Linked DNA regions of Macaca mulatta. The protein of the gene in region 2 purifies or fractionates together with the protein of the main gene of each other region. This does not show direct contact. Links are inferred from orthologs where the notes say so. Each region holds a gene or a part of one and is shown on either strand. Other genes may lie near its edges.

Evidence for each region.
Region 1: the proteins of TSPYL6 (region 2) and PSME3 purify together in Homo sapiens (affinity purification with mass spectrometry; 3 studies listed by BioGRID and IntAct, counting the BioPlex papers as one, with this or other methods). This does not show direct contact. The link is inferred for Macaca mulatta from reciprocal best matches to the Homo sapiens genes TSPYL6 and PSME3.

Annotation. Positions count from the first base shown.
Region 1 is NC_133421.1:67,183,043-67,186,958, reverse strand, and holds the start of PSME3 (proteasome activator complex subunit 3), read right to left. Parts: upstream 2,295-3,916; 5' UTR 2,060-2,294; coding exon 2,018-2,059; exon of another isoform or gene 1,511-2,017; coding exon of another isoform or gene 1,436-1,510; intron 1,348-1,435; coding exon 1,315-1,347; intron 1,225-1,314; exon of another isoform or gene 1,191-1,224; coding exon 1,128-1,190; intron 934-1,127; coding exon 829-933; intron 1-828. UniProt on the Homo sapiens protein: Subunit of the 11S REG-gamma (also called PA28-gamma) proteasome regulator, a doughnut-shaped homoheptamer which associates with the proteasome. 11S REG-gamma activates the trypsin-like catalytic subunit of the proteasome but inhibits the chymotrypsin-like and postglutamyl-preferring (PGPH) subunits.
Region 2 is NC_133418.1:70,388,787-70,392,702, forward strand, and holds the start of TSPYL6 (testis-specific Y-encoded-like protein 6), read left to right. Parts: upstream 1-1,094; 5' UTR 1,095-3,016; coding exon 3,017-3,916.

The DNA.
Region 1 (3,916 bases), on a different chromosome or scaffold from region 2:
TGCCCAGGCTGGAGTGCAGTGTCATTATCTCGGCTCACTATAAGCTCCGCCTCCTGGGTTCATGCCACTCTCCTGCCTCAGCCTCCCGAGTAGCTGGGACTACAGGCGCCCACAACCACGCCCAGCTAATTTTTTGTATTTTTAGTAGAGATGGGGTTTCACCATGTTAGCAAGGATGGTCTCCATCTCCTGACCTCGTGATCCAACCACCTGAGTCTCCCAAAGTGCTGGGATTACAGGTGTGAGCCACCGCGCCTGGCCAAAGCTAGTTCTCTTTTATTTGAAACTCACTCTAACACTGAGAGTAGCATTAGCACATTCACTTCACATCGTAAATGAAACTCAGGGTCTAAAAGGAATATACCGGAGGCCTCGTGCAGTGACTCACGCCTGTAATCCCAGCATTTTGGGAGGCTGAGGCGGGTGGATTACTTGAGCTCAGTGGTTTGAGACCAGCCTCGGCAACATGGTGAAACCCTGTCTCTACAAAAAATACAAAAATCAGCTGGGCATGGTGGCACACTCCTGTAGTATCAGCTACTTGGCGGGCTGAGGAGGGAGGGTCACTTAAGTTTGGGAGGTCCAGGCTGCAGTGAGCAGTGCTCACGCCACTACACTCCAGCTTGGGCAAAAAAAAGTGACGCCCTTTCTCAAAAATAAATAAATAAATAAGAAATAAAACAACTATACTAGAGTCATCATGTCTGTAACAGTCCTAGTTCCCAGATCCAAATCCCACTGTTGCCTCTGTACATCTTAAACTGACAAGGAAACAGAGGACAGAGGACCTACTGCTCAAGAACACAAAGATAAATATAGGACACTTACACCATCCAGTCCATCATGGCTATTGGTGAGAAGAATGGGGTCAGGGACTGGGAGATTCATGTCAGAGTGGATCTGAGTTAGGTCATGGATGTTTAAAATTGGTTCCTGAAAGACACCCACCCCAAAACATTAATCTTTTCAAGCTGAACAAAGAAGTATTTGATTGAAGAGCAAGAAATGAAAGCGCTTTTACAGTTTAAAAAAATAAAAAGAAGAATCAACACACAATTAGTTCCAGTTGACAGTAATACCAGGGCCAAAAAAATAGGGGAATTTGAGGAAAGAAAAGGGTCTCTCACCTTCAGAAAACTATCAAGTTCTAACAACTTCTTTGGGAAAAAATTTGCCACCAAGTCTTCTGCCTAAGGAGGAGGGAAAATATAGCTGAATTAATATCTGTGGGAAGGTCTCTCTCTCTCTCTCTACAGATATCTCCTCTTTGGGAAACTCTCAACCAACACTCATTTTTCTATTTATTTCACTCACCTCACTTGTGATGCGTTCCCTGAAAGAATCAACCTAAAATTAACAAAGAGAGCAATTCAGTACCTGGAGACAGAGGTAAGAGCAGGATAGAGAATCCCAAATCCAACTGTCTTTCCCTCACCTTGTAACTGTAATAAGAAGCTGAGAGGCCCCCAGACTGCAAATACTTTATTTTTTTGAGGATCCATTTTTCCATCTCAGGAGAAGAAAGCAGGGCTTTGAGGGCAGCACCTGCCTGTCTCCTCTCTCCTCTCCCCTCCCTCCCTCCTGTGTCTGAAGCTGTCTGAATTTGATAAGCAGACAAAAGACAGGTAGTTAGGAAAGATGTGAGCTCACAAACGTGCCAACCCCCACCCAGACCTGGCCTATGATACCAGGCAGGCCAGCCACCAAGGGCAGAGGCAGTGTCCAGGGACGTTGTTGGGCTGGGGGATTTCCAGCTGTCACTGGCCTAAAGCCCTGAGTCCAACACGTGTCCGCGGAGGTGTCCCCGGGACTCTCCATCATCAGACGCGGTACAGAAAGCCATCCTATATTTTCCTCTCCCGCGAAGCCGACCCCGGGAGTTGGGGGCTGGGCTGAGTTGAGCGGAAGCTCAGAGCTGGTATCCCCAGGGAGACAAAGACGACATGGGGAGTAGGAAGCCAGTCAGACTGCTGGGGGATCAAAGCGAGGGGCAAAAAGGCCGGACCGGTGCCGCTACCTTGAGCTTCACTTCCTGATCCACCTTCAGCAACGAGGCCATGGCCGGGCCGGGCCGTGTCCGATCCGCTGGACACCGGAGGCGCTGTGGACTCCAGGGAGGGGGCCGGAGGGACCTGAGAAATCTCGGCTGACCTCGGGACCCGGCCGCCCTCGCTGGCTCACTCACTGCTCGCTTGCTCCCTCCCTCCGTGCCGTCCGCCCGCCCGCCGGCAGCCTGCTGCCTGGTCGCTCTCTCGCTCGCCCTCCCGGCTTTCGCCGCTCACGCCGGAAACTGCGTCACAGCCAATCGCCGAGACTCCTGCGAGGCTGTGCACGTGCGCTGCGCAGCCGCGATGAGACTCGGGTTTGGATGCTCCCCGGGGTAAAGTGTTGGGTAGGGGTGAAGTAAAAAGGAGAGCTGTGGGGAATGGTGCGCTGAGAACTGAGCCTCCGAAAGACTCGGAAACGGTGCGACCCTCTCTGTTGGCCCGGAACTCGCCTTCACCGAAGGGACCTCAGTCGCTGCAGTCCCGGGGACAGCGCCGTCGCGCCCCAGTGACGTAGGCTCGGGGAAGTCGGGGACCCGGGTACTGGGTTCGGGGGTGTAGTCCCTGATTCCCGCTGCCTCTGCCCGTTTGCCGAGGCTCAAGTGTTTAGGCTAGAGCGAAAAACACAAGTGCGGTTGTACCAAGCTTTCCTGGTACATTTCCCTGCCAACTGACTGTCGTAAGCTTCCGGACCTCAAAGATCAACTACCTAATGGGCAAATTGATGCCCAGAGTAGGGCAAGACTTGTCCAAGGCGTTTCCAGTACATCCTGAGCCAGGACCCAGATCTCCTAACTTCTATGGCAGTGCTGTATCTATTTGCCTAATGGAAGCTTAAGACTATACCTCTTCATACACCCATTCATTCGATCTCTCTCTCGACATTGGATATTTCATTCAATAAAATGGGCCAGGGCACTGTCTCAGATTCTAGAAATATGTGAGTTACATATGTAGGTTGAAATCTTCTATTAGCCACAATTAAAAAGTAAAATAAGTGAAAATTTTAGTCATATATTTAACCCAATTTATCCAAGTCCTTCAACATGTAATCAACATTAAAAAATCGAGATCTTATGCATTCTTTTCTCATACCAAGTCTTCAAAATCCAGTGCATATTTTACACTTAACTGCACATCTCAATAAGAAAATAACACATTTACAGTACAGTGCTCAGTAGCCACATGTGGCTGCTGGCTTCTGTATTGAACAGCACAGCTCTGGGAAATCAAAGGCAAACAAGATTCAAGGTTGCTGGTCTCATGGGGCATAATATTGGAAAAACACCAGAAAGTAAACTGACAAAGTAACTGCAAAATTTGATAAATATTAGGAAACAAGTGTATGACATAGAAAATACCAGAGATCTATTTTAGATCGAATGGCCAAGGAAGGCCTCTGAACAAGAGACAAGCTGCGATCTAAAGGACATAAAGGGGTTAGCATGGAAAGAGTGAGAAGAGCCTTGAGACGTATAAGTGCAGCAAATGCTCTAGGGAAGGAAAGAGACTGTCTTGAAGACAAAGACTGGTGAGCTGGGGGTGAGGAGGGTTGTTAGTAAACAATCTAGATTAAGTGCAAAAAGAGGTCATCAGATTTATATTTTGGGGTCGCTCTTGCTGTTGAACATTTATCCTAGACTGGCCTCTCTACTAAGTGCTAGGAGAATGAGGGGAATACACAATTAAATGGAGTAAAGCACAAAAGACTGACTATGGCCTTTGGAATCAGAGACCTGTGCCTCAAATCCCACCTCAGCTCCTTACTAACTGGAATCTTGGGCAAATTATTGAAATCCTGAGTCAATTCCCTCATCTGTAAAATGGAATTTTAATAATTAGTAATAAATAATAGTATGTAATATTGTAGT
Region 2 (3,916 bases):
TCAAACAATATGTTTTTTTTTTTAAAAAAGATAACTCCGATTTTCCTGCAAAGATCTTCCTCATTATAGCCTTCACCACTCTGCTTCCAGTATCTCCATCCTAACAGTTGCTCAGGTCAAAATCCTTGGAGTCATCCTCGACTTCTCTCTTTCTTTCATACCCCATGCTGGGAGGTGGGGCCTTTAAGAGATGATCAGGTTGGTAAGATGGATTTAAGTCTTTGTTGCAAGGCTGGATTAATTCTTATGGGAATGGATTAGTTTTTGAGAGAGTGGGTTGCTATAATGCTGAGTCAGCCTCTTTTGTCCATTCTTTCCCAGGTGCTTGCTAGCTCTTCTGCTTTTTTGTCATGCTACTTCATAGCATAGCATATCGGACTTCTCAGCCTCCAGAATTGTGAGTTAAATAAACTTTTCTTTATAAATTACCCAGTCTCAGGTATTCAGTTACAGCAACAGAAAATGAACTAAGAGATCCCATAGCCAATTTACCATGAAATCAGGCTGACTCTACCATCATACTATATCCACCATCTACCTCCATTGCTACCACCTGGTCTGAGAAACATCTTTTACCTGGGTTAGTGCAGCAGCCTCCTAAAAGATCCCCCTAAATCTACCATTGCTTCCATACAGATTATTTTTCACCCAGGAGTCAGAGTGATTCATGCAAAACTAAAGTCACATTTTGTGTCCTCTGCTCAAAATCCTGTAGTAATTTCCCATTTCATTAAGAATAAAAGCCAAATTTCTTACACTATCATACAAGAACCTACTTGATCTAGCCTCCCTCATTCACTTTGCTCCATCCATGCTGGCCTCCTTGTTATTTCTTGAACATTCCAGGCATGCTCCTGTCTTGGTGCTTCTGCTTAGCACTTCTCTTCCTGAAATGCTCTTCTCCAAGATTTCTACTGGCTGACTCCCTCAACTTCTTTGACTCTTTGCCAAAATCTCATCTTTTCAATGAGGCTTCCTCTGACCACCCTATTTCATACTACAATCTGCTCCCCGCTCCCTACCCACAGAACTTTCCATCTCCTTACTCTATTGTTTTTTCCTTAACACTTATAACTTTCTAATGTGCAATTATTATTTTCCTGTTATTGTTATCTTTCTCCTCTGCTAAAATGTAAACCCCAAGAGGGAAGAAATCCTTGTTCTGTTCACTGTTATATCCAGAGGGCCCATAAGAGTACCAGGCACACAGTAGGTACCCAATAAACATTTGTTGAATGTTTAATAAATATAAAAATGGATTATGTGTACCTTGAATGTTTGGTAGTAGTTGCCTCAAAATCATTTGAACCTCACGCTACTTTTGTGGAAAGATTTTTTTAAGCTACTGATTCCATTTATTTACTGTCTCTAGGTCTATTTAGATTTTCTATTGCATTTCAGTCCTTGTTGATAAATTATACATTTCTATGAAGCCATATATTTCATCTAAGTTTGAAAATGTATTGGCATAAAGCTGTCTAACATCCTGTCATATTTCTTTAAATAATCAATGTGACTATGTTTTCCTTTCCAAATACTGTTTCTCTTTTTTATTATTAATCTTTGGTTGATACTCTGTATTGTCTTACATAAATTTCTGTTTATTATTACCTTTTATCTATGTCCTTTGGCCTAACTCTATTGGTCTTTTGTTTATTACTCAAATTATTTTTCATGATGAGTGATACAGCAGTTGCCAATATTTCCAGTTTCCTCCTTCCAGGCTCAGGAGGAGGTTACACCTCCCTGTCCTATTAAAGTTAGACAAGGTCAACTGACTAGCTCTGGCCAATGATTTATGTCACTTTTGATGGAAACATTTAAAAACCTATGAATGTGGAAAGAATGGTCTTTTCAATAAACAAGGCTGGGTCAATTAGATATTCATATGGAAAAAAACAAATTGTGACCCTACTCATAAAAATGAATTCCAGCTGGATGGCAGATACAAATTTGAACAATCTTGGTGAGATAAGGTTCTTCATTTTTAAATTCTTTTTTGAAATAGAGATGGGGTCTTCCTATGTTGCCCTGGCTGGTCTCCAACTCCTGGGCTCAAGTGATCTTCCCACCTCCGCCTCTCAAAGTGCTGGAATTACAGGTGTGAGGCACTGTGCCCAGGCAAGAGATAAGATTTCTTAAACAGAGCAGAAAAACACTAAGGTAGAGGGGGAAATGACAAATTGACACATATTAAGATGAAAAACTTTTGTTCCTCAAAAGGTACCATTAAGATGATGAAAAAGTAGGCCAGGCGCAGTGGCTCACGCCTGTAATCCCAGCACTTTGGGAGGCCAAGGTGGGCGGATCACCTGAGGCTAGGAGTTCAAGAACAGCCTGGCCAACATGGCAAAACCACATCTCTACTAAAAAAAAAAAAAAAAAGAAAAGGCTGGGCATGGTGACAGGCACCTGTAGTCCCAGCTACTTGGGAGGCTGAGGCAGGAGAAGCGCTTGAATTCGGGAGTCAGCAGCTTCAGTGAGCTGAGATGGCGCCACTGCACTCTAGCCTGGGCAACAGAGCCCGTCTCAAAAAAACAAAAAAACAAAAAAACCTCAAAAAACAGAAAAAGTAATCCACAGAGTGGGAGGAAATATTTGTAATATCTATACTTGAAGAATGACTAGTATCTAGCATGTACAAAGGCTTCCTACAAATCAATATGAAAAAGAACACCTGCCCAACAGAGAAATAGGGAGAAGCCTCAGATACTGCACAAGAGAGAATATCCTAATGGCCAAAAAACATATGAGAAGGTTCTCAGTTGATTAGGCTTTGGCTAAATGCAAATTAAAACCGCCATGTGATACCACTACTCATCCAGCACAATGGCTAAAATAACGATGCACAGGACACCACCACAGACTCGCGAGACTGAGGGGTGGGTGTCGCGAGACTGAAGAGTGGGCGGTGCAAATAGTCGAGGTGTTTACTCGCCATTTTGTGTGAGGAACGTTGACGGGACCCACCGTTGTGGCCTGGCCTCTACCGACTGCCGCCCTGGCCGCTACCAACATGAGCCTCCTGGAGAGTCCTCACAGGCCTGCTACTCTCGACCGTGCCCCGGAAGACCCGCACCAGGGCCAGAGGTCCCGAGAGAAGAGCAAGGCGACACAGGTAATGGCAGATGTGTTTGAGGGCCGCTTGGAGCCAGTCGTGCTCCCACCGCCCCAGCTTCCAGAGGAGGGGGTCGCACCCCAGGATCCCGCAGATAGTGGCCGTACTTTCCACATCTTGGTCGATGGGAGTCGCAGTCGTGGAGCCATCAAAGCTGGACAGGAAGTGACTCTACCACCCGCGGAGGGCCTAGAAGCAGCCTCTATCTCGCTGACAACTGACGGCAGCCTCAAAAATGGCTTTCCGGGTGAAGAGACGCCCGGCCTAGATGGGGAGAAGGCTGTAGAAACCTGTGGTGCAGGGAGGTCGGAGTCTGAAGTGATTGCAGAGGGGAAGGCCGAGGACGTGAAGCCTGAGGAGTGTGCCATGCTCTCAGCCCCAGTGGATGAGAAGCTAGGAGGCGAGGAAATGGACATGGCGGAAGGAAACAGAGCAACAGATGAGGTAAATAAGGATGCAGGGCCTGGGCCCGGGCCCCTGAACGTGGGTCTCCACCTGAACCCCCTGGAGTCCATCCAGCTGGAACTGGACTCCGTGAATGCCGAGGCTGACAGGGCCCTCCTGCAGGTGGAACGCAGGTTTGGGCAGATGCATGAATACTACCTAGAGCAGAGGAATGACATCATTCGCAATATCCCGGGCTTCTGGGTCACTGCTTTCCGCCACCACCCACAGCTGTCTGCCATGATTAGAGGCCAAGATGCCGAGATGTTAAGCTACTTAACCAATTTGGAAGTGAAGGAGCTCAGACACCCTAGGACAGGCTGCAAGTTTAAGTTCTTCTTTCGAAGAAACCCT